Linked DNA regions of Callithrix jacchus. The protein of the gene in region 2 purifies or fractionates together with the protein of the main gene of each other region. This does not show direct contact. Links are inferred from orthologs where the notes say so. Each region holds a gene or a part of one and is shown on either strand. Other genes may lie near its edges. The genes, in order: large ribosomal subunit protein eL8, NOP56, EBNA1BP2, NOLC1, DHX9, BRIX1 and SNU13.

Region 1 (2,703 bases), on a different chromosome or scaffold from region 2:
AGCTAAGCTGGGTCTATAAGAAATTACACATGAGATGGCACACATATTTATACTGTCTGAAGGTCACAATCATTTTACCAAATCAAGCTGAAAAATGTCACTGCTATCTGGAGAAGTGTGAACAGAGTTTTCTCTCTGGATCTGTTAAGAAGGCATTAGTTGGTACAACCCACAGTGCTTCCATTATTCATGTTAAAAAAAAAAAAAAAGAAGAAGGCTTTGGTTGGCTGGGTTCAGTAATAAATATGTGAGACCTTTCCAAAAAAAAAAGATAAAAGATAAAGTAACTGGGCACGGTGGCACATGCCTGTAGTCGCAGTTACTCTGGAGGCTAACTAAGGTAGGAGGATCATTTGAGGCCAGGAGGTCAAGGCTGCAGTGAGCTATGATCACACCACTGCACTCTGGCCTGGGCAACATAGTGAGAGAGAGAAAAAGAAGGATCAATTTTTTTCTAGTGATTAGTATGTCTATTTTTATTCATCTCACCCAAACATTTCACAAATGAGGAGGCAGAGTCATCAAGCTTCCTAAAGGGGTTACTTTAGAGCTACAAAGGGGTCAAGAATGTGTGAAGATGGAGGATTGGCTGTACGATTTGGACTGAAGTAACCAGTCGGGTAATTGATTTCCAGATCAACACTCAGAAGAAAATAATCCAACTGCTCTCATTCTCCCCCTCCCCACATACCTCATAAACTACTAAGTACTATTCTTGTTCTTTAAGTGTTTTCTGAAACGTTAAGGGACAAAAGGCTATTTGAGCAGACTTCACATTCTTGAAAGGTCTCACATTTGCATTTGACCTTTTCTAAAACAAAGTAATACATACAGTCACAGACATTCACTGACAGGAATGAAATAAAAATTCCTTGTTTACCATACCTTTTTTTTTTTTTTAAGAGTTTTTTTCTTTTCTTTCCTTCTCTTTTCTTTTCTTTTTTTTGAGATGAAATCTCACTCGTTTGTCCAGGCTGGAGTGCAGTGGCCCAATCTCAGCTCACTGCAACCTCCACCTTCTGGGTTCAAGGGATTCTCTTGCCTCAGCCTCCCCAGTAGCTGGGATTACAGGTGTCCGCCACCTCACCTGGCTAATTTTTGTATTTTTAGTAGAGAGGGGGTTTCACCACATTGGCCAGGCTCATCTCAAACTCCTGATCGCCAGTGATCCACCTGCTTCAGCTTCCCAAAGTGCTGGGATTACAGGCATGAATCACCACGCCCAGTTTACTATACAGTTTTAACTTTGCATCCTATTATTGAACCAGGCTGTATTTCGAATAATCTCGGCTTTCTAAAAAATTATTTTTGGCTCTTTCTTTCTGCTGCTCAAGATGCCGAAAGGAAAGAAGGCCAAGGGGAAGAAGGTGGCTCCGGCCCCTGCTGTCGTGAAGAAGCAGGAGGCTAAGAAAGTGGTAAATCCCCTGTTTGAAAAACGGCCTAAAAATTTTGGTATTGGACAGGACATCCAGCCCAAAAGAGACCTCACCCGCTTTGTCAAATGGCCCCGCTATATCAGGTTGCAGCGGCAGAGAGCCATCCTCTACAAGCGGCTGAAAGTGCCTCCTGCAATTAACCAGTTCACCCAGGCCCTGGACCGCCAAACAGCTACTCAACTGCTTAAGCTGGCCCACAAGTATAGACCAGAGACAAAGCAAGAGAAGAAGCAGAGGCTGTTGGCCCGGGCCGAGAAGAAAGCGGCTGGCAAAGGGGACGTCCCCACTAAGAGACCACCTGTCCTTCGAGCAGGAGTCAACACAATCACCACCTTGGTGGAGAACAAGAAAGCTCAGCTGGTGGTGATTGCACACGACGTGGATCCCATTGAGCTGGTTGTCTTCTTGCCTGCCCTGTGTCGAAAAATGGGAGTCCCTTACTGCATTATCAAGGGGAAGGCAAGACTGGGACGTCTAGTCCACAGGAAGACCTGCACTACCGTCGCCTTCACACAGGTTAACGCGGAAGACAAAGGTGCCTTGGCTAAGCTGGTGGAAGCCATCCGCACCAATTACAATGACAGATACGATGAGATCCGCCGTCACTGGGGAGGCAATGTCCTGGGTCCCAAGTCTGTGGCTCGCATTGCAAAGCTAGAGAAGGCAAAAGCTAAAGAGCTTGCCACGAAACTGGGTTAAATTTACACTGTAAATAAAAATAAAACAATGAAAATTTTCCTTCAAAAAAAAAAAAAAATTATTTTTGTTTTTATTCTTTTCAGATTGAAATTTTCCAAACAGGATGAAAGGCACAGAAAAGGTGGCCACTGTGTACTCCTCCAAGATTATTCAGAAATTGACATTTTGCCATACTTGCTCCACATTTCTTTTTTCTTAGGTTTATAGAGGGATAATTTGTATGCAGTATACTTTTTTGTGTAATAATTTTAATGTAAGGTTTTTCTTACCATCAGGGTACAGGTTTTTTTGATGTGCAAGTCTATGAATATTTTTCCTTTTTTTTTAACTTTTGGGTTAAAAGAGTCTCACTCTGTTGCCCAGGCTGGAATAAAGTGGTGTGATCATAGCTCACTGCAGCCTTGAACTCCTGAGCTTAAGGGATCCTACCACTTAAGTCTCTAGAGTAGCTAGGACTACAGGTGTGTGCCTATAGTCCTAGCTCAATTTTATAAGATTTTTTTTTTTAACTTTCGCTCTTGTTGCCCAGACTGGAGTGCAATGGCATGATTGTGGCTCACTGCAACTT
Region 2 (3,570 bases):
GACAATGCCACATACTGCCGTCTTGCCCAGGTTATTGGAAACCGAAGGGAACTGAATGAGGAGAAGCTGGAGAAGCTGGAGGAGCTAACAATGGATGGGGCCAAGGCTAAGGCTATTCTGGATGCCTCACGGTCCTCCATGGGTCAGTGCAGAGCCTGGCAGCCTGCATAAGGTATGGGGCTCTGAATATCTGGCCCTCTGCATTCACACTTGGTTTTTCCTAGGCATGGACATATCTGCCATTGACTTGATAAACATCGAGAGCTTCTCCAGTCGTGTGGTGTCTTTATCTGAGTACCGCCAGAGCCTACACACTTACCTGCGCTCCAAGATGAGCCAAGTAGCCCCCAGCCTGTCAGCCCTAATTGGGGAAGCGGTGCGTCACAGGGGACACAAAAAAATGGGAGAATAAGGACTGTTCCCATGTGCACCCGCACTGCTGTATGTCCTGACCCACCATATATCTTCCCTACTTGTGCTTGATGGGGAGGGGAGGGGGTGAGTAGGGCTCTTGCAATTGGCAGGTCAGCAGTTCGTTTCTCTGACTGCTTCCTTGACTCTCTCCAGGTAGGTGCACGTCTCATCGCACATGCTGGCAGCCTCACCAACCTGGCCAAGTATCCGGCATCCACAGTGCAGATCCTTGGGGCTGAAAAGGCCCTGTTCAGGTACCAGTGAGGGCACCTGCCCACATTCAGGTGCCACTTCTGGTGCCCGCCTCTTGTTGGGGGATCACGGTGATGGCTGACCAGGGCTCCCTGACCTATACAAGCCTCTGCTATGGGGGTGATGGCCAATCCTGGTATCTGAGTGATTCCCAGGGCCCAGCAAAGGGACCAAGTCTCCAGGTCAGCGACACTGGATGCCTTCCCTCTGCCTCTGGGTGCTATGGGTTTGCATGCATTGGGATAGAGATCCAATCTGGCCTGAGGCTCATTCAGGACTTGGGGGTGAGAGGAGGGGAGGAGCTGAGCTGCCTTGGCTAAGGGGGTTGAAATTTCTGATCTTAAACTCTCCACTGAATGTTCTCTCAGAGCCCTGAAGACAAGGGGTAACACACCAAAATATGGACTCATTTTCCACTCCACCTTCATTGGCCGAGCAGCTGCCAAGAACAAGGGCCGCATCTCCCGATACCTGGCAAACAAATGCAGTATTGCCTCACGAATCGATTGCTTCTCTGGTATGGGTGGGGGGGGGTATGAGAAGGGGCTGGCTGGGTGGGTGGGGGCTTGCAACCATAGCAGCTTCCACAATGATGGCAATATTTTTCGTCAACAGCAGTTCACCTAGTGAGTGTTGAGAGTCTGGGTCTGAGTGAAGCTGAGGGTAGAGGGAACACGGGGTGGGGGTAGTTTTTCTCTGGGCTGACAGGCTTTGTTACCCACATGCACGTCCAGAGGTGCCCACGAGTGTATTTGGGGAGAAACTTCGAGAACAAGTTGAAGAGCGACTGTCCTTCTATGAAACTGGAGAGATTCCACGAAAGAATCTGGATGTCATGAAGGAAGCGGTGGTTGAGGTCAGTTGGGCTTTGCTGGGTGTGGGGAGGCATAGCTGGCTGGCTGTTGGAGTTGATGAACTGTCTGAGCCTGACCTTGCGGAGTGGAGGCAAAAAAAACTGATTTAATGAGCCTGATCCAATAAAGCCAGAAAGGAGTCCTCAGAGCACCAGAGGTCTTCAGGCCCTTTTAGCACTTCTCTTTGACCAGGCAGAGGAAGCGGCTGCTGAGATTACGAGGAAGCTGGAGAAACAGGAGAAGAAACGCTTAAAGAAGGAAAAGAAACGGCTGGCTGCACTTGCCCTCGCATCTTCAGAAAACAGCAGTAGTACTCCAGAGGAGTGTGAGGTCAGTAGGCAGCTTGGCCCTTGCAAAGATCCCAGGTTGTAGGGTTTTCAACAGCAGAACAAAGGATGTGCTGCATCAAGCCATGGTCTTGAGTCCAGGCTTTTCAACTGAAACAAGGACCTAAAACATCTAAAACTACCTCTTGATTCTATAGGAAGGAGATAGGTGCTGAGAGAACTTGCTCAAGAGCCCAGAGAGCTGGTTGTAGCTCACACCTGTTCCCTGGGCATGTGTGTTCTGTCCTCGGCTGCCTCCCAGGAGTCCTCAACCTGGGGTAGTGTAAATTCCTGCTCTGCTTATTCTCAGACGTGTGTCCGGAGGTGGTAGTGTTCACAGTGGGGATGGGGGCAGGGCGGTCCCCAGTGTGCTGGGCTACAATCGTTCTCCCTGGGATTTTCATTTAGCACCCAGTTTCTTAAACAGTGTTTCAGGGCCCTGTCTGGAACTTGGCATGATGGTTCTGTTGTGGCCAGCATGGTGGGTTTTTCTTTAGGGTTTTTTTTTTTTAATGGGCTGAGGTAATTTACTACATATTGTCCTTAACTTCTAATTTGGGATAGCCTTTGGGATGGATTTCTAAAGTTATACCCACACAATTAAAACTATCCCAGAAACACTGGGCAACGTTAACAACTACACAGGTTTCCCTGCCTTGGCTACTTAATTGCTGAAAATGTAATGGGGGTATGTGTGCACATATCAATAGATGTCACTGTTCTCACAGCCTGTTCCCCTGTCCTTCCCTTTAGGAGGCAAGTGAAAAGCCCAAAAAGAAGAAGAAAAAACAAAAGCCCCAGGAGGTTCCTCAGGAGAATGGAATGGAAGACCCATCTACTTCTTTCTCCAGACCCAAGAAAAAGAAATCTTTTTCCAAGGAGGAGTTGATGAGTAGTGATCCTGAAGAAACCACTGGCAGCCCCAGTCTTCCCAAGAGGAAGAAATCATCACCCAAGGAGGAAACAGTTAATAACCCCGAAGAGGCAGGCAACAGAAGTGTCTCCAAGAAAAAGAGGAAATTCTCCAAAGAGGAGCCGGTCAGCAGTGGACCTGAAGAGGCTACTACCAGCAAGAGCAGCTCCAAGAAGAAGAAAAAGTTCCGGAAAGAAGCCCAGGAAGATTAGAATGCAAATGGACATTCTCTGGGAGGCGGGGCATACCATAGCCCAAGGTGACATTCCCCACCCTGTGTCCTGTTCCCCAATAAAAACAAACTCACAAAAGTCGGTGGTTCATGCTTTTTATTGAACACCTTAGATGGGTATGGACAGGGCCTATGAGTGGGGCAAGGCAGCAATGACAGCCTCAGTGAAGTCATGGCAAGTAGCATAGCCACCCATGTCAGAGGTTCGAACCTGTGGGGGAGAATCATCATCATCCATGTGGCCTGGGCTCCATCCCAACAAAATCCCCATCACAACCCAGCAGTCTGTTCCCTAAAGAAGCCAGCCCAAAGACAACCTAGGCCCTGCCCAGTAAGGTGACCATGGTACACTGCCTAGAGGCACAAAGTCTCTTCTGGTCCACTGCACTGAAGGGTATGGGGAGTGTGGTCCTTGAAATAAAGGGCTCTAGCTCCCATGGGGGTGCAGGTGACCGATGACAGACTTGATGAAGTCGGTTGTGGTGCTGTAGCCGCCCATGTCTCGAGTCCGCACCTACAGCCACCACCGGCAACAGCCGTGGGGAGGAAGAAAAGAGAGCCCATGAAGGGAGGTAGGGC
Region 3 (3,500 bases), on a different chromosome or scaffold from region 2:
GCCCCTTAGGCACTACTGTGACCCAGAATCTCATCCTTGGCCCCACAATCCTATGCTACAGCCCCTCGAGATACACTCGTCTAGCTCAACTATTTACAGTTCTAACCACCAGGGCAGGAAAATAAAGCAAGAAGCAGGGAAGGCTCCACATGCATCATGTGGCTTCCTAGTGTCTTTGGAAAGCTTTCTATTTTAACTAAATCTTGTTAAATCATCCTCAGTTGTGTCTATTCCTCTTAAGGGTAAATATATGCAGTTAACATTAAATGTAATACAGGTCATCCAATAGGGATCTCAAATTCAGCATCCCCAAATTCACATCACCTCCTGCACTGGCTCTACTTCCTGTATATATGAGCTCACTTGAGACTGGCACAGGTCCTGCCAACCCAGACACACAGGCTAACATGTGGGAGTCTGCCTTGGTTCTTCTCTCACTTTATACCCAATTCAATTGCTGAGTCCTGCTCATTTCACCTCTTAAATGTTCCTGCAGTCCATCTTCTCTTCTCCCTCAGTTGCCACTTTCAGGTTATTATCATTGCACATCTGGACTAGTCTCCTTGTCAATTTCCCAGCTTCCCTCAAGTCCCTCACTTATACAAAATCCACTGTAATCTTTTTAAAAGCATGACTATGACTTGCTCATTATTGTCAGTACAACCTATAACCTAGTCTCCCCACTGCCTTCTGGACAAACCCCAAGCTCCTCAACAAGGCAAACCAACAGCGCAGGTCTCCCAAGCCACATCGCACCCCTCCTTGCCTTGCACTGTAGTCCCAGTGACACCAAGGGCTTACTGTTCCTCACAAAACCCTGAGGTTTCACATCTCTATGGCTTTGCTCTTTCAAGCTCTTCCTTCTTCCCAAACCCAGCTTCTCTCCTATTCTTGTGGTTAATTCTTACTCACGCTTCAGGCAATGCTCAAGTCAAACCCTCCTCCAGAAATCCAGAAATCCATCTCCAGACCCTGTCAGGTATTTTTTTTTTTTTTTTTTTGAGGCAGAGTTTCCCTCTTGTTGCCCAGGCTAGAGTGCAATGGCATGATCTTGGCTCACTGCAACCTTCTCCTCCTGGGTTCAAGCGATTCTCCTGCCTTGGCCTCCTTAGTAGCTGAGATTACAAGTGCCCACCACACACCTGGCTAATTTTTTGTATTTTTAGTAGAGACAGAGTTTCGCTATATTGGCCAAGCTGGTCTCCAACTCTTGACCTCAGGTGATCTGCCCACCTCAGACTCCCAAAGTGCTGGGATTATAGGCATGAGCCACCATGCCCAGCCCATATCAGGTATTTCTAAAAGCTGCCTCAATACTACTCCCCAAATGCCTCTATCATAGATAGCACTTACTACCTTACACGGAAATGATCATTTCCCCTAGGCCTGGTATCCAGGTATGCAAAACACTGAAGAGCCTGCATTCTTCTTTCAATCTTCATACTATGAGGCAGATACTCTTTCCTCAACTTAGCAGATGAGGCAATTAGCACTTAGAAAGGTATGGTAACTTGTTCAAAACTGCCCTACTACTAAGTGGCAGAGCCAGGGTCTGAGTCCTAGGCCTGAACTCTCAACCATCACACCGTGTGATGGGGACTCAACTTTTACTCAGCATCTACTTAAAGAGTACCACATACTTAAATGTACCTTCTTAGGCTGGGTGCAGTGGTCACGCCTATAATCTCAGCACTTTGGGAGGCTGAGGTAGGCAAATCACTTGAGCCCAGGAGTTCAAGACCAGCCTGGCCAACGTGGTGAAATCCTGTCTCTACTAAAAATACAAAAATTAGCTGGGTGTGGTGGTGGGCGCCTGTAGTCCCTGATACTCAGGAGGCTGAGGCACAAGAATCACTTAAACCCAGGTGGCAGAGGTTGCAGTGAGCCAAGACTGTACCACTGCACTGCAGCCCAGGTGACAGAGTTAAACTCTGTCTTAAAAAAAAACAAGTTTAAAAAGGGCCTTCTTTTATGCCTCAAAGACTGACATGGCTAAAATTACCCATCACACAGTGCTAGGAGTCTTGGCCACAGGCAGCAGCTGCATTCTCTGGACTCACAGCTGAGCCAGTAGGGGTGCTACGCCTGTCATCTTCGTGACCTATGGCCCCACAGCACCTCCCAGAACCAAAGAAACCATACCAAAATACTTCTCACCCCTTCTTCATCTGCTGGCCTTTGGCTCCTGCCTTCTTGCCCTGTGTTGGGGGTTTCTGATCTCCCTCAAGGAAATCCAGTTTATCAGAGAAGCCTGTAAGTGAAGAAGCAGTTCTGATCAGCACCATTGTATTTTAAAAGTTGAAACCACCATATAAAGCTGTTATTTGCCACACTGATTTTAAAAGTGACATCCTGCTCCCCAACACCATTTCCAAAACTTAGATCCGATAGGTCCACATCAACCAAGAAGGCTCCAAAGCACTAAGTGCTCAGATCAACTCTAAAGTACCTGCTACCCTTGTTCCCCCAGCAGAGAGAGGTACCAACCTTTCTGATATTTCTTAATAGCGTTCATCATATGTGCTTTCTCCTGCTGCCTCTTCTGAAGAACCTCTGTTTGCACCTGTGATATGAACACCAGGACAGTTACAGCCATTCCACACCATTACTCCAGTGTCCACATTCTCTTAATAGCAACACCATGATTAATACTGCTACCCTTTGACATTTACTATGTGCCAAAAACTATGTTAAGGGCTCTAAGTATATTCTCAGATCTAGGTATATTCTTCATAGACGAAGATATATCTATTTCATAACAATCCAGTGAAGTTGAAATTTGTGTTATCCCCTAAACTGAAACACGCAGAATTTAACCTGCCCAAGTTGCACAGTGAAAAAGTGCACAGCTGAGATGACCCAAGCTGTTTGCCTCCAAAGCCAGCATTCACTCTATTATAGAATCCTCCCTACTAAACTGCAGCAAATCATGTTTAAGCCGACATCCAATTTTTCCCATCATATTTGGACAGATTAACTATCTAACTTACTGTTACTAGGCATGAAAGTACCAAAAGGAAGAGAAAAAAACAATGTCCCCAGGTAAAGAAAAGAAAAAGGTTTTAAGAATAAAAGGAGAAACTTTATAATACTCTAACAGAGTTTCTCAATCTTGATACTGCTACACTGTGGACAGACTGCTGGGGGGAGGGGCCTGTCCTGCACTGTGGGACATTCAGCAGCACCCTTGCCCTCTACCTGTAGATGCCAGTAGCACCCTCCCTCCCACATTTGACAACTAAACATACCTTCAGGCAGTGACAGAAAACTCCTGGGGAGCAAATTCACCCCAGCTGACAATCTCTTCCTCAATGTTTCCTCAAAGTAGAAACAGTGAACTAATAGGCCCAAGTGAGTTTGTCTTTGCTTTTAATAACTTTGGTTAGGTTAAATTAATTATTGGTGTCTTTAAGATAATCTCAGCCATCTGCCTCCAGATCAAAGAAATAATAAATCCGTGGCAGGCCCTTTGTAGAGACAGGATCCCGGCCTATTCTTAC
Region 4 (2,699 bases), on a different chromosome or scaffold from region 2:
GAAATTGAGGTGGATTCACGAGTGGCAGACAACTCCTTTGATGCCAAGGTGAGAGAGAGATCTGTGCCATTCTTGGGAGGGAGGGTGGTAGTGTCAGAGAGCACAGCTCTTGATTCCGGTTGGTGGCAATCCTCTCTGGGTTCAGGTTACCTTGAGTAGGGAGTAGAAAGAAAAGAAGTGACAAGGCCCTGGCATGGTCCTTCTGTGTTAACCTCCTCTCTCTACTTAACTAGCGAGGTGCAGCTGGAGACTGGGGAGAGCGAGCCAATCAGGTTTTGAAGTTCACCAAAGGCAAGTCCTTCCGGCATGAGAAAACCAAGAAGAAGCGGGGCAGCTACCGGGGAGGCTCCATCTCTGTTCAGGTCAATTCCGTGAAGTTTGACAGTGAGTGACCTGGGGCCATCTTTGGCGAAGCAAAGGTGATGGTCAGAGACCACTCACTTTCTCTAGTGGACTTGGGAACCCTCAGCTCTCCAGGTGAGGGTCTTGATGAGGACAGAAGTTTAGGGTAGGTCCTAAGACTTTACAATGTAACATCCTTTCTGGTCCTTTTCTGTGTTACCTAGTTTTGTACAGACTTGGTTTTGAGTGTTAAGTAGCAGGGACAAAATAAGGGAATGTTATTTTTGCAGAAAATTCGTTTTCATTGTCTCCTTCCTTTTCTGTGAAAGTCCTCATTCTAGAAATTTGTATATTTTATATTAAATCATTTTCTATTGATTTTTGTTGTGATTTTCAAAGGTGGATTCCTACAGACAAAAACTTAGCTATGCCCAAGACATAGTAAAGGGTCACAGGTATGACTTTTTATAATTGGAAGAAAATTCTGCCTTTGTGAGTGCACATGTTCACATTTCATCCATCTTTCCCTCAAAACCCTAGCGAGGGGTATTAAAGAATGGCTGATGTATATGCAATGTCATATTAAGCATGCACTGTGTATTTCATTCTCATTTATTGAGTCTGGGACTGAGGTTTTTAGCCAGCATGGACCTAACCTACTTTTTGGGATAAAATTTACTGTTTTGTTACAGGCAAACTTCTGGTGTGGTATGAATGCCGTGGGTCATTCTGAATATTTTTTTTTCTGTAATTTTATCATTACATGATGTTTGTAATACATGCTTTGTTTTTTTAATTTGAACGCAAATTTTTCTACTGTTGATACACATTTTTTGACAACTTGACCCTTCCTAGTATTGAGTACTAAGTTGAGGACTGCATCATATTTCACAGTATAGAGAACAAAATGACATTAATTTGAAAAATACATATCACTTGGCATTGCTGTCTTGGTTGCAGTGGTGACATAGAATTGGTTTCATTAATTCCTACATGGTTGAGAATCAAGAAAGTGGGGAAAAGAAAAACTCAATCCTCAGGAGGAAGGTAGGTTATATTAGATGAATTTATTGGTATTCTCTGTATGTGCTAATCGGGTTGAAAGAACCTTACAGACGAGGCGGGCAGATCACGAGGTCAAGAGATGGAGAACATCCTGGTCAATATGGTGAAACCTCGTCTCTACTAAAAATACAAAAAAATTAGCTGGGCGTGGTGGCGCACGCCTGTAGTCCCAGCTACTCGGGAAGCTGAGGCAGGAGCATTGCTTGAAACCCGGGAGGTGGAGGTTGCAGTGAGTCGAGTTCGCGAACCTGACAGAGCATATTACCTGATAAACTTGAGTGGAGTGGGTTTGGGAGAACAAACTAACAGGATTATTGTGTCTCTTACTTAGTTGGTACATGGGTCTCGTAGTTGGTACGTGGGAGCAATTGATGTGCCCCCTTCAGAACCTTAACTGTTAGTAATAGTGGCAATAACAACACAAACCAGTGACCGGAAATACAGCTCTTAGGCCAAGTTGGCCTGTGGGTATGGCTGCAGGAAGCGACTGATCAGTGGTGGTACTCAGCCAGAACAAGACGGAGAGGGAAGAGTCCACAGCTTTGTGGAGGCTAAAGTGTTTGGGTGGTAGGAAAGTGTGCCCCAAGCCTTCATGGATGATTTGTAGGTCTTAAGGTTAGTCTCCTCTTGTTTGGATTCCACACTCGCTAAATAACCTGATAATAACCTGGTTTTCCATGTAACTGCCTCTAGAAGAAAATGTACTGTTCATGCTGACACCGATATTTCAGTCTGCATGGTAAAAGTTCTACATCTTACTATAAAATAATAAACTGGCTGGTTTATAATGTGTCTTGGGAGTTTATTATTGTGAGTCTGAACCCCTTCTTCTTCCTACTCAAAACAGAACAACTTTGGTGCCAGTTAGAGGACTGGGGTCTGGACCTGTGACTTCACTGCAGAGGCTTTTTGGCAGCAGCTTGCAGGGTTTTCTTGGCCACAGCTTGTCTCATGGTGCCTTTTCCAGGCTGTACTGCAGCCTGTGCATTGTCCAAATTGGGGGTTGGCAAAATGGCCTATGGGTCAAATCTAGCCCATGGCTTGTTTTTATATTACCTAAGAGCTAAGGAAGGTTATTACATTTGTAAAGGTTTTTTAAAAAGATAGATAATAGCCGGTGTGGTGGCTCATACCTGTAATCCCAGCACTTTGGGAGGCTGAGGTAGGTGGATCACCTGAGGTCAGGAGTTCCAGACCAGCCTGACCAACATGGAGAAACCCCATCTCTACTAAAAATACTAAATTAGCCTGGCATGGTGGTGCATGCCTGTAATCCCAGCTACTTGGGAGGC
Region 5 (3,500 bases), on a different chromosome or scaffold from region 2:
TGGTGACTTTAAGAACAGTAAGATACCTAAGTGTGCCCTAAAGCTCATCGTTGCAGACATTTTTTGTTATCAGTATCTTAAAGATTTCTGATACAAAGCAATGAAGAATTCAGGAAAAGACAATGAGAGGCACAGACAATTGGGGGAGCCAGGACAGCATTCCTGTATGGCCTTTTATTTAAAGGCATAACAGACAGCAACACCAGAGGTCTGTGTTCATAATACACATGTGCTGCTGCTTAGGCTGAACTAAGCAATCACATGGGAAACTATTGTAAACTGATTTCTGGTGTCGCTGTTCCCCCTAGGTGGAGGAGAATGAGATTGAGTGCTGACTTTAAGCCTGGCTGAGAAACATACTGGCATCGATGTCATTAATGAAAGGGTGGATGTTGTTCCCCTGAAAGCCAGTGGCCTTTGACCCCTGAAGCCGCTGTGCCTGAAGGTCAGTTCACAAGAGGTATAGGAAGGAGTCTAACATTTATTTTTTCTTAAGCCTCACCCAGCCTTTTATTCACAGCACAAAGTCTAGGTTTAGAATGTATCTGAGCAGTGAAAGGACCAGAATGCATAGAATTTCAAAGGGCAGTTTTTCCCTTGTGAAAATCTAAATTCATTTTCTAGACTCCACAAGCAGTTTGAGATATAATGTGACAGCATGTGTTTTGTTCTCCAGGACCTGATTTAAATAAATGTCATATAAATAGGCTAAATTTTTGTCATCCAGGGCCGCTTCCAACTGCAGGCAGATGTGAGAGCTCTGCCTTAGGAGCCATTGATGTGCACAAAATGAATGTGCATGTGTGAGTTTGCGTATATTAGCTTAATCCTAACAGATTGCAGTTCATAATGGGTGGCCTATGCAGAAGAATCTTAAAATAATTCTAACAGTAGTGTAAAGCATTTTGGGCCTACTTTATTTCTTGGCTCCAAGCTAAGTGGAAAATTCCTTTTCATTGAATGTGTTCTTGCTGTTCAGACTCCAGCCTTTGGAATAAGAGTAAGTAAATATAAAATCTAAAACCCTAACGTTTTCCTTTCATGAACAATTGGCTCATCGACTTTGATTATAGTTGTCTTATGCCGTGTTGTATATTTGAAGTTTATATACTTCATTTGTTCTAGGGTTGGGCAGAAATAAATGTTGGTAATTTTTTTTCTCTGTGATTTGCCTAAGCAGTTGGAAAGCCTGCCTGACTTGGGAGACCTGGATTTGCCAATTTCTAACAGTGAAATTTCTAACCTTGCTTGTATGTGTTGTTACAGGAGCTTTATTGCAGAAATGACCATTTATATCAAGCAGCTGGGCAGAAGTAAGTCACTGTTTCCCCGATATTCCAAGACTTTGTATAGAGAAGCTGTATTATTGAAAGAGCACATAATGTAAGATAGCATCTAGGGTATATTTTAGAATATTAGTAATTATAGACGTTAGAGAAAGTCTTCTAGTTTACGTATGAAGCAGACCATGTTAGTGTAATGTTTGAAAGGTAAGATAAAGCAGGATGATTAGGAGTCTGCCATTGTCAAAGAATTTTAAAACTTTTTTATATGTAAAATAAGTTATTTTGAGTGGATGGGAAATATTAAGGGATAAAGGCAGGCTAACTTCTGTCATATATTAATAGAATAAAAAGGAACTAGAAGCTGTGGCATACACTATATTTTAAGACTTTTGTACCTAAGCCCATGGTTCCTGGTGATAAGACTTACTTGATTAGGGGTTCCTGGTTTCTCACTTACTTGATTGGGGTTAATTTGGCTAGTTAGGCAGAAAGATACCTTTGTACCCCTTTGCATTATATTCATTTCTCCTAAAACTGAATGATACTGGGGAAGAAGAAACTTTCTATTAGTATTTTCTTCAAGGATACGAGTAGCTGTTAGCTTCTGTTTAATGCTGAGGTCAGCAAACTATAGCCGTCTGGCCAAATCCAATGTACTGCCTGTTTTTATAAGTGTTCTATTTGAACATAGCTACACTCATAACTAAACTTATTCCTTTGTCAGAGGACAGCAAACTCTTTCTATAAAGCACTAGGTGATAATATTCTAGACTTCACAGGTCATACATTTTAATTTTTATTTTATTTTTACAACTCTTGAAAAACATAAAACCATTCCCAGGCCTATGGTTTGTCAAACTATTGTCTGTGGCCGCTTTCATGCATTAGAGGCAGAGTTGAGTAGTTGTGACAGAGACTATGGCCTGCAAATCCTAAGATATTTATTAACCCTTTATGGAAAAAGTTTTCCAAATCCTGGTCTAGGTAACCACTCTGGACCTGATTACATTTATTGGTTTATTTTTTTACTCTTTGACTTCTTAAAAGTCAGACTATGTTTTCTTACCATATTTTAATGCCTGATGATAATAACACTGACAACCTTTAAAATAGGTTTTTGCTTTCATAATACTGAATTGTATGAGTCCTAGTATCAGCCTGTAGTCAAAACAGTGGGTTATTTAGTTGATAAACTGTTTGGCAATTTCTTTTGTTTATCATATATTAATAGAATAAAAAGGAACTAAAAGCCGTGGCATACACTATATTTTAAGACTTTTGTACCTAAGCCCATGGTTCCTGGTGATAAGATGTTTTTTTACTTAAGTGATTGATCCTTCTGTCTGATAAACCCGATCTTACATTATAGGAATTTTTGCACGAGAACATGGATCAAATAAGAAATTGGCAGCACAGTCCTGTGCCCTGTCACTTGTCAGACAACTCTACCATCTTGGAGTGGTTGAAGCTTACTCTGGACTTACAAAGAAGAAGGAAGGAGAGACAGTGAGTTTTTAGATTTATAATAGACTCGTGAGATATTTTAAGATTCAATTTAGCTCTTGTTTAGTATTTGGCTAAAGAAGTCTTAATTTCAAGGAATCTTACCTCAAGAAATGAAATGGCCTTGCTAATCATCTGTGTCTGGCATGATATCCGTAATAGGAAATGAGTAAATCATAATCATTGAAGTAATTCTCTCACTAAAGGGAACTGACTGTTGGCTTAGGAATACTGTAGAATTAGTTTTGACTGTATAGTCTTAGCGCTACTAAAGTAGATTTGAGTAGTATTTATATGTGTGATCCTTTTTTGTAGGTGGAGCCTTACAAAGTAAACATCTCTCAAGATTTAGAGCATCAGCTGCAAAACATTATTCAAGAGCTAAATCTTGAGATTCTGCCCCCGGTAAGCATACAGCTATTTAGTTTACATGTATTTAGAACTCTCAGTAGACAGGCAAATCATTTTGTTGTTGTTTTTCTTATTTTTTAATAGCCTGAAGATCCTTCTGTGCCAGTGGCACTCAACATTGGCAAATTGGCTCAGTTTGAACCATCTCAACGACAAAACCAAGTGGGTGTGGTTCCTTGGTCACCTCCACAATCCAACTGGAATCCTTGGACCAGTAGCAACATTGATGAGGGGCCTCTGGCTTTTGTGAGTGCAGTATTATTTTTGAGATCAGACTCTCGTGTTTCACTCTTGAGTATG
Region 6 (4,127 bases), on a different chromosome or scaffold from region 2:
CAGGCTGAAATGCAGAGATGCAGGCTAACAGCTCACTGCAGTTTCACGTTCCTGGGCTCAAGTTATCCTCCTACCTCAGCATCCGCAGTAGCTGCAGATTACAGGTATGTCACATCATGCCCAGCTAATTTAATTTTTTTGTAAAGACGGGGGTCTCCCTGTGTTGCCCAGTCTGGTTCCCAACTCCTGGGCTCAAGCAGCTTGGCCTCCAAAGTGCTGGAATTATAGGTGAGAGCCACCACACCTGGCCCTGTTTGTTTTTCAAGAGCTTCCAGGTAGCAAGTCAAACCATGCTGACTCCTTTAATCCATCTCTCAGCAACATTCACTGACCACATCTGCCACCCAGAAATGCCCTCCTTGGTTTCTTTCTTCTTTTTCATCTTCGATTTCTCCAATTCCTCTTCCTAACCCTTAAAGTTCTTGCTTAGCCCTCTCTTTTCTGTGCTCTCTATGCCAGGTCTCATAATAACTTCCCACAACTTTAATTTTTGTCCACTCTACAGAAGGGAACTCTCTCTAGCCCTAATAATCCAAGTATTTCATTAACACCTCAAACTCAACTCTACAATACTAAACATTTTCTTAGACCTCTTAAATCTGGTGCATTTCCTTGCTATTTCATTTTCTTTCTTTTCCTTTTTTTTTTTTTTTTTTTTTGGATGCTGTCACTTCAGTCCCTCAAGGTTTGAATCTTCGATTTGCCCTGTTTCTCCCATCTCATCATAAGCACTATAAAATGCTATCAATTTCTCTTTTCAACAATTCTTAATCCTTTCTTATTCACACTGCACTTATTTAGTGCCTTATATGAACCACAAAACTCCTCAATGACTAACCATCCCAGACATGAGCTTCTCCAACAGATATGGTTGAGTAGCTTTTTCAACAGCTTACTTTTTAAATACTTCAATCACATCCTTACTTCCCAGAGTTTTCTAAACAAAATCTGAATGACATAGCTTTGACACTGAATTGGAAAATAAATTTTCATTTTTACATCATTACTGCCCCAAATCAAGCCTAATGCAATCCAATCTGGTTCTATTTTTTACATTTTTCAGCATTTCCCTACCTCAAAGTCTTTCATCAGTTCTTTTTTCTCTCCCTTGGAGTGTTCCCTCTCGTTTTTGAATGCCAAAATTCTCCGGTTCCTCTGATATGCAGCTTAAAGGTTAAATCTAAATCCTTCCAGATTCTTTATCTTATTATACTAGGGTAAAAGTAATCTCAATCTCCTGCATTTCCACAGAATGTATTAAAGTATGGCTCAGATTATAGAAACTAACGCCTTGAGCGAAGAGAGCACTAACATTTATTGAAAGTGTACAAGTCCAGCTTATTTTTCATAAAAAGTAAGTATTCCCTCCCCCCACCCTCCCACTCCCACTCCCACCTAATCTGCAGGTCAGAAAAGAGCACAGAATGTTGCTGTTAATAACGATCCTAGAATTTACACTTACTTTCTTTTTTTTTTTTGAGATGGAGTTTCGCTCGTTACCCAGGCTGGAGTGCAATGGCGCCATCTCGCCTCACCACAACCTCCGCCTCCTGGGTTCAGGCAATTCTCCTGCCTCAGCCTCCTGAGTAGCTGGGATTACAGGCACGCGCCACCGTGCCCAGCTAATTTTTTTGTATTTTTAGTAGAGACGGGGTTTCACCATGTTGACCAGGATGGTCTCGATCACTTGACCTCGTGATCCACCCGCCTCGGCCTCCCAAAGTGCTGGGATTACAGGCGTGAGCCACCGCGCCCGGCCCCCACACTTATCATTCCTCAGAGCTCACTCACCATCACACCACATGGAGTCATTTACTTATCACCTACTCCGTACTAGAGTGTACTATGCTAAGTGCAGAGGACAGAGAAATTAATGTCAAAGATAATCCTTGTCTCCACAGTATACTGTGTAGCTTAAGAATAGTTCTTAGTTGAATGAAAGTTAACTGAAACAACTTGCGTGCACTTCTTTCGAATAAAAACCACCAACTTCTCTGACTTAAGTTTCCTCCTGAACTCCAACATTTCAGGAGGAAGAGGTCACATTCTAGTCACCTTTGCAATCTTTGCCAAAGGAAGCTTAACTTGGAACAATGCGTGGCACATTCAATGTCTGTTCAATACAGGTAAAGCTCAAAGTATCTGGACTATCTTTCATTATCCCTTGAGTTAAAGACCTAGTTAACAACTCACAGTCCCAAGGCCAACAACTTTTTAAAGGCTCACCTAACAAGCTTCAGGATCCCTGCCTGACAGCAGCTGACTTCGGCCGTATATAGGAATACTAATCACTGGAAGAAATACTCAAAAGCGAGAAATAACCAAGGAAAAGCACCACCCTCCAAAAATAATTGAACAACTAGGAAGACAACGCTGGATCTGAGCACCCTGTCAGTCGCTTCCCCGTGGGCCGGCTAAAGGTTCTAAAACCCGCTGCCCCCAGGAGGGCGGCCAAGTGCACAAGAATTAGCTATAAACTCCGTGTCCAGTATGGCCGGGAGAACTGCTAAAACCGACCTACGGTCAACACCCGAGCTATTCTAAAATTAGTAGAGCTGTAGTCAGAACCCCCAAGAAAAGGCGCACAGAGCCGCGGCTGTTGGTGTAACCCTTCTACCTTGCAAACGGGGCCTGGGATCCGGTTTCTCTCTTCTTCCTCCACCTCCTCTGCAGTAGCTCGAGGCTTAGCTGGCGGTTCGGCATCTTTCTCGTTTCTTTTCGGTTTCTTCGCCTGAACTGCCAAGCCTCCACGCCGTTTCCTCTTGGTTGCCGCCATCTTGTCTCGCCGCCTGCGCTCTTTGGCCTTCTTTCCGGTGTTGCCGCTCGCACCCTTTTCCGATCTCTATGGTTCGGCGGCTCTAAGCGCTCGGTTCAGCGGTCGTCCTCCAGCTCGGTGGTGCCTGCCTGCTTCCGGTCTTGGAGGCGCTGCACGCTTGGCTCTCTAGGATTCGTTCCGCTCCATGGTGACGGTGGCCGAGGTGGAGGGCCGAGCTGAAAAGTGTCGGGACCCGCTTCCCTTCTTCCGCGGTTTTTCGGAGCCGCCTTGCTACTCCTCAGGGACTTTGCCGGGAAGGGCTCTCGGGCGTCCAGACCCCACTGCAAAGGTAGGGTGTCAGCACTCGAGGACTGAGAGTAGTAAGTGATGCTGTCCAGCGGGCGAGCTGGTGAATGGGCTTGTCTGGGACCCTTGGGGGATCTTCTGGGCACTCCGAGCCCGCCCCCCCCCCCCCCATCGCCTGTTGCGTTGGAGGCGAGGCTTGCGGCGCGGGCGACACAAAACCGACTCCGTAGGGATTCGTAGCTCCTGTTTGGCCGGGATAAGCTGGCCCCAAGCGGAGATACCGTGTCAGTTGCGTGTCTTCATTCTTCACAACTTTTCACGTTATTGTCCCCTTACGGAGATGAGGAAACCGTAGCTTAGAAAATTTTCTCCCAGAGTTACAAAGACAGTTAAGTGGCATCGGTGGGGTTCGGCCTGGTCAGCCAAGTTCAGCTGCCCAATCCCCTTCCATTTCTCAGCGCAGGTGGAGCTCGCCAGACCTCGCCAGCACTGATGGGAGTTTTATTGTCCAATCCCTTCAGGTATTTCGCGATCCGCGGGAGCAGGTGTTGGCCCCAGAAGCATCCCTCGGGGCCGAATGTGCAGCGGACAATGCCCCTTCTGACCCAACAGATCCAAGACGATGATGATCAGTACAGCCTCGTGGCCAGCCTTGACAACGTTAGGAATCTCTCCACTATCTTGAAAGCTATTCATTTCCGAGAACATGCCACATGTTTTGCAACTAAAAATGGAATCAAAGTAACTGTGGAAAATGCAAAGTGTGTGCAGGCAAATGCTTTTATTCAGGTATGGAAATATGTGCCTTTAAGCCTGTGCCATAGATATTCTAAATGCAGTTTAATGAAATCTGAAGGTTTTAGTAGACAATAAATGACTTTATAGTCAATAGTCCTGAATAAATAGTATATGAATAAATAGCTGTATAGTCTTAAGTCAGAGAACAAAACGCCTTTACTTGAGTTTTTTTTTCTCTCCTGGTAACAAATTTTTTTTCCCATCTTGTTTTACAGAGATAATGGTTAGTAATGACTAAAAAGCTAGACTATTAGCTAGGCACTCCTCT
Region 7 (4,016 bases), on a different chromosome or scaffold from region 2:
CAACACAGATGAAAGTGATTCTAATGGTTCTCCTAAATCTCAAATATGATTGACAAAATTTCTGATGTTTCCATTAAAATCTTCAACGACACAAGAACTCTACCACACCAAACTGCTTGGCATCTGGTAAAATCAGAGTATTTTGGCTGGGCATGGGGACTCATGCCTGTTATCCCAGCACTCTGGGAGGCTGAGGCAGGTGGACTGCCTGAGCTCAGGAGTTCGAGATCAGCCTCAGCAACAGAGCAAGATTCTGCCTCAAAAAAAAAAAAGGCTGGCACAGTGGCTCACCTGAGGTCAGGAGTTTGAGACCAGACTGACCAACATAGTGAAACCTCATCTGTACCAAAAATACAAAATTAACCGGAAATGCTGGTACATGCCTATAATCCCAGGTACTTGGGAGGCTGAGGCAGGAGAATCACTTGAACCCAAGAAGTGGAGGTTGCAGTGAGCCAAGGTCCAGCCTGGGCAAAAAGAGCAAAACTGTCTCAAACAAACAAATAAATCAAAATAAAAAATAAAGTATCATGCATACATAATTATTCTACTAAAGAACAACATTTTTTTTTCTTTTTTTTTTTTTTTTAACCAAGGGAGGTGGTGCTTCCTTTGGCAGCACATATACTAAAATTGGAACAATACAGAGAAGATTAGCATGGATCCTGCGCAAAGATGACATGCAAATTCGTGAAGAGTTCCATGTTTTTGAATAATAGCATCAAAAAAAAAAAAAGTCGGGGGAGAGGGGTAGGGAATGTTTCTGGAAACCAAATAAAATTCATGAATGCTAAGTATCCACAGTATAAAAGATGCTACAAAGCAATAATATACCGTTCCTTCTGATGGCTCTGGAGAGGTCATACAGTTACTATACGAAGTCTCTACAACTGCTTTCGAATGGCTCAGCAAAAATAAAATTCATTTATAAAGTGTAAAAGAAGGTAAATGTGGCAAAATGTTAACAATTTGTGGGTCTAAAAAAAATTCTTAGCCCATCAGCTTTAGCATCTAATGCCAAAATGCTGCTCTTAGGTCCTTCCACTGGTTGCAGTCAAGAGCATCTAGCCCTCCTCCCAAATTGGAAATCTAGACCAGAGGTCCCAGATGGAAACATGTGCCTTTAACATTTCCCCAGAGCACCCTGTGGCTGCCTTACCTTCATTGGCTCCTTTCCGAAGCTGCTTATAGTTACATGACTGCTGAACAAGGTCCAGTAGTTTCTTGGTGAGGTGGGCATCAGCAAGGGGATAGGCCTTCGGATTCACATCAGCCTCAGTCTAAGGAGGGGGAGATAAAAATATCAGTCAAATTGAACTGGAAGTTTTCCTACTAATACTAATCAACAATTGATCACAAAATACTAATCAACAATTGAGAAACAGGGAGCAGCTGCTCTGCTTCCTGATCCTCCAACACACAGAACACCATGTAGTTAACAATGAGCTTTCCAGTCCTACCTTCGGAAAAAATGAAATATATTATTAGAAACTATACAGTTCAATGAAGTATACTAAAGCTTATGTACTTTTGTCTCGTCAGATGAATGTTCGATAATATTACAGCAAATGGATTACAAATGGGCTCCCATGGCTCAGCATCCATTTGAGTCCATGGGTAATCTGTACTTTGTTTTTTTTTTTTTAGATGGGGTCTCACTCTGTTGCCTGGGCTGGAGTGTAGCGGCTGATCTCAGCTCACTGCAACCTCTGCCTGCCACGTTCAAATGATTCTTATGCCTCAGCATCCCAAATAGATAGGACTACAGGTGTGTGCCACCACACCTGCCTAATTTTTGTATTTTTTTTTTTTTTTTGTAGAGATGGGGTTTCACCATGTTGGAAAGTTTGGTCTTGAACTCCTAGCTCACATCTGTAATCACAGCACTTTGGGAGGCTGAGTGCAGGTGGATCATGTGAGGTCAGGAGACCATTGGTAATCTTTAAATTTGAACTTCTGTATTCCACCTCAATTTACGGAATCAAAACTAAGATATAATTTACAGTAAATGTAGCACAAAATTCTTTTAATTCCCCATTCCACATACAAATATTCTGTTCAAACCCCTGATTTCCAACAGACCAAAGTATTTCCTCACCTACTCTGCAACACACAAAAAATGGTTCCAAAATTGCTACACCAATACACCACCTCTACCAACAAACTCACCAAGGTCAAAATTTATTTTTGTTCTTAGGATATATCCTACCAAAGCCATCCAGTGATAGTACTATGCTAAAAAATTATTCAAATTAAAATTTTCCTTGGGGTTAGCAATTTGATATACAATTAAGACTTGTTTGTAGTCAGCTTGCTTTAAATTTTATTTTTCAAATATGTAAAATATCTTCATGGTTTAAATGTCAAAACTATGCTACTGATAGCAACTCAGTGTTGTGAAAACCAGGAAAGGGAAACAATCATCTTCTGTGCCTTTCCTAAACACCGTATTAGGAGGTAACCAAATAGAAGATGAAAAATACCTCTTGCATCACTATTCCACCTAATAAATAAAGAGGAAATGGTACACTTAAATATCACCAACTTGCAACCCTTATTAACTAATTAATGGCACTTGCAGTTAAGTTAAAAATCCTTACTTTACAGATACATACTGTAATACTTATGGATAAAATGGCGTCACTGAGATGTGAGTCAAAATAACCCATGTAGGGGTCGGGAGTAGTGTCTCACGCCTGTAGTCCCAGCTACTTGGGAGGCTGAAGCAGAATAGCTTGAACCCAGGAGGTGGAGGATGCAGTGATCCGAGACTGCGCCACTGCACTACAGGCGCCAGAGCGAGGCTCCATCTCAAAAAATAAATAAATAAATAAAAAATGACGCACGTAGGGAGCGAACTGGGTGAGCGGCCTGCCAGTTCCGCTCCTTCCATCTCATTCCCACCCCTCCAGTTAACCATTTTCATTAACTTTTTCTGTCTTTTTTTTTTTTTTTTTTTTACAAGCACAGCACATATTTATACAAGGGTATACTCATATTAAAACCTGGGGGCAGCCCTCAATGTCGCCATTGAGTATTAATGTGCGAATCGCGAGTGATTCGCTGCGGCCGCAATCTAACCTCGGCCTTGGAGGCTGGACACAAGGTGGACGGCAGTCACTGGAGACGGTCGGGTGGGAACACTTATCTATTGCGCCTGCCTCGGTGGTCTCCTGCAGGACACCGCGCGCCTGCCTTTTCCTCCTTCAATTTTTTTTACAGCTTTTTTTGATATAGCTGGCTCACGGTACCGCGGTTCTGAGAACGTGACCCGTGGGTAGTGGCCCAGTAGGAACACTCACCATAGCGTCTGTCTTGGTAGTCTCTCCCCGGACACCGCAAGGACACCACGCGTGTTAGTCTGGGGTGGTCTGCTACCCTCCACCGCAAGGACACGGATGCCCCGCCCCAGGAGCAGGAAGTGACGCCAGTGCCACCAGCGGAAGTGACGTCCAGGGCCAGACAGTACACCAAGACGCCCTGTCTCCCACCTAACTCGTTATCTTAGGCAAACCTGTCTTGGTCCCGAGATGACTGGGAGGAATTAGGTGAAGGATGGAGTTGTTCTCTAAAGCGCAGGTTGGGGGAAGTCGAGGGAATACCTCTGTAATATTTTTCTCTTCCCCAAACATTCACTGATTGATTGACGGAGCCTCCCTCTATTGCCCATGTTGGTGTGCAGCGGCATGACCTCGGCTCACTGCAACCTCCACCTCCCGGGTTCAAGTGATTCTCTCGCCTCACTGCCTCCTGGGTACCTGGGATTATAGGTGCCCGCGACCACGCCCAGTTAATTTTTGTATTTTTAGTAGAGACAGTGTTTCACCACGTTGGTTAAGCTGGTTTTGAACCCCAGACCTCAGGTAATCCGCCCACCTCAGGCTCCCAAAAGTGCAGGGATTACGGGCATAAACCACCGTGTCCGGCCTATCCTTTATTCGTAATGTCTATAGAGTATGTCACCTTCATGTGTTACTTCAACTTTCTTTTTTTTTTTTTTGAGACAGGGTCTCGCT

Evidence for each region.
Region 1: the proteins of NOP56 (region 2) and large ribosomal subunit protein eL8 purify together in Homo sapiens (co-immunoprecipitation; 3 studies listed by BioGRID and IntAct, with this or other methods). This does not show direct contact. The link is inferred for Callithrix jacchus from reciprocal best matches to the Homo sapiens genes NOP56 and RPL7A.
Region 3: the proteins of NOP56 (region 2) and EBNA1BP2 purify together in Homo sapiens (affinity purification with mass spectrometry; 4 studies listed by BioGRID and IntAct, with this or other methods). This does not show direct contact. The link is inferred for Callithrix jacchus from reciprocal best matches to the Homo sapiens genes NOP56 and EBNA1BP2.
Region 4: the proteins of NOP56 (region 2) and NOLC1 purify together in Homo sapiens (affinity purification with mass spectrometry; 6 studies listed by BioGRID and IntAct, with this or other methods). This does not show direct contact. The link is inferred for Callithrix jacchus from reciprocal best matches to the Homo sapiens genes NOP56 and NOLC1.
Region 5: the proteins of NOP56 (region 2) and DHX9 purify together in Homo sapiens (affinity purification with mass spectrometry; 3 studies listed by BioGRID and IntAct, with this or other methods). This does not show direct contact. The link is inferred for Callithrix jacchus from reciprocal best matches to the Homo sapiens genes NOP56 and DHX9.
Region 6: the proteins of NOP56 (region 2) and BRIX1 purify together in Homo sapiens (affinity purification with mass spectrometry; 3 studies listed by BioGRID and IntAct, with this or other methods). This does not show direct contact. The link is inferred for Callithrix jacchus from reciprocal best matches to the Homo sapiens genes NOP56 and BRIX1.
Region 7: the proteins of NOP56 (region 2) and SNU13 fractionate together in Homo sapiens (co-fractionation; 3 studies listed by BioGRID, with this or other methods). This does not show direct contact. The link is inferred for Callithrix jacchus from reciprocal best matches to the Homo sapiens genes NOP56 and SNU13.

Annotation. Positions count from the first base shown.
Region 1 is NC_133510.1:113,504,074-113,506,776, reverse strand, and holds large ribosomal subunit protein eL8, read left to right. Parts: upstream 1-1,311; 5' UTR 1,312-1,334; coding exon 1,335-2,135; 3' UTR 2,136-2,203; downstream 2,204-2,703.
Region 2 is NC_133506.1:10,188,286-10,191,855, forward strand, and holds the end of NOP56 (nucleolar protein 56), read left to right. Parts: coding exon 1-142; intron 143-224; coding exon 225-376; intron 377-567; coding exon 568-668; intron 669-730; exon of another isoform or gene 731-816; intron 817-1,034; coding exon 1,035-1,183; intron 1,184-1,250; exon of another isoform or gene 1,251-1,321; intron 1,322-1,400; coding exon 1,401-1,522; intron 1,523-1,569; exon of another isoform or gene 1,570-1,642; intron 1,643-1,712; coding exon 1,713-1,850; intron 1,851-2,004; exon of another isoform or gene 2,005-2,124; intron 2,125-2,599; coding exon 2,600-2,971; 3' UTR 2,972-3,070; downstream 3,071-3,570. Other genes in the region: IDH3B (isocitrate dehydrogenase [NAD] subunit beta, mitochondrial), read right to left, coding at 3,419-3,505. UniProt on the Homo sapiens protein: Involved in the early to middle stages of 60S ribosomal subunit biogenesis. Required for the biogenesis of box C/D snoRNAs such U3, U8 and U14 snoRNAs. Part of the small subunit (SSU) processome, first precursor of the small eukaryotic ribosomal subunit.
Region 3 is NC_133508.1:79,831,332-79,834,831, forward strand, and holds part of EBNA1BP2 (putative rRNA-processing protein EBP2), read right to left. Parts: intron 2,564-3,500; coding exon 2,488-2,563; intron 2,252-2,487; coding exon 2,158-2,251; intron 1-2,157. UniProt on the Homo sapiens protein: Required for the processing of the 27S pre-rRNA.
Region 4 is NC_133513.1:95,116,099-95,118,797, forward strand, and holds the end of NOLC1 (nucleolar and coiled-body phosphoprotein 1), read left to right. Parts: coding exon 1-48; intron 49-233; coding exon 234-392; 3' UTR 393-2,199; downstream 2,200-2,699. UniProt on the Homo sapiens protein: Nucleolar protein that acts as a regulator of RNA polymerase I by connecting RNA polymerase I with enzymes responsible for ribosomal processing and modification.
Region 5 is NC_133519.1:41,043,979-41,047,478, forward strand, and holds part of DHX9 (ATP-dependent RNA helicase A), read left to right. Parts: intron 1-303; exon of another isoform or gene 304-445; intron 446-1,266; coding exon 1,267-1,313; intron 1,314-2,655; coding exon 2,656-2,792; intron 2,793-3,104; coding exon 3,105-3,194; intron 3,195-3,284; coding exon 3,285-3,446; intron 3,447-3,500. UniProt on the Homo sapiens protein: Multifunctional ATP-dependent nucleic acid helicase that unwinds DNA and RNA in a 3' to 5' direction and that plays important roles in many processes, such as DNA replication, transcriptional activation, post-transcriptional RNA regulation, mRNA translation and RNA-mediated gene silencing.
Region 6 is NC_133503.1:170,709,830-170,713,956, forward strand, and holds the start of BRIX1 (ribosome biogenesis protein BRX1 homolog), read right to left. Parts: upstream 2,801-4,127; 5' UTR 2,777-2,800; coding exon 2,618-2,776; intron 1-2,617. Other genes in the region: cell cycle checkpoint protein RAD1, read left to right, coding at 3,653-3,850. UniProt on the Homo sapiens protein: Required for biogenesis of the 60S ribosomal subunit.
Region 7 is NC_133502.1:190,079,412-190,083,427, reverse strand, and holds the start of SNU13 (NHP2-like protein 1), read right to left. Parts: upstream 2,801-4,016; 5' UTR 2,670-2,800; coding exon 2,616-2,669; intron 1,281-2,615; coding exon 1,160-1,280; intron 711-1,159; exon of another isoform or gene 604-710; intron 1-603.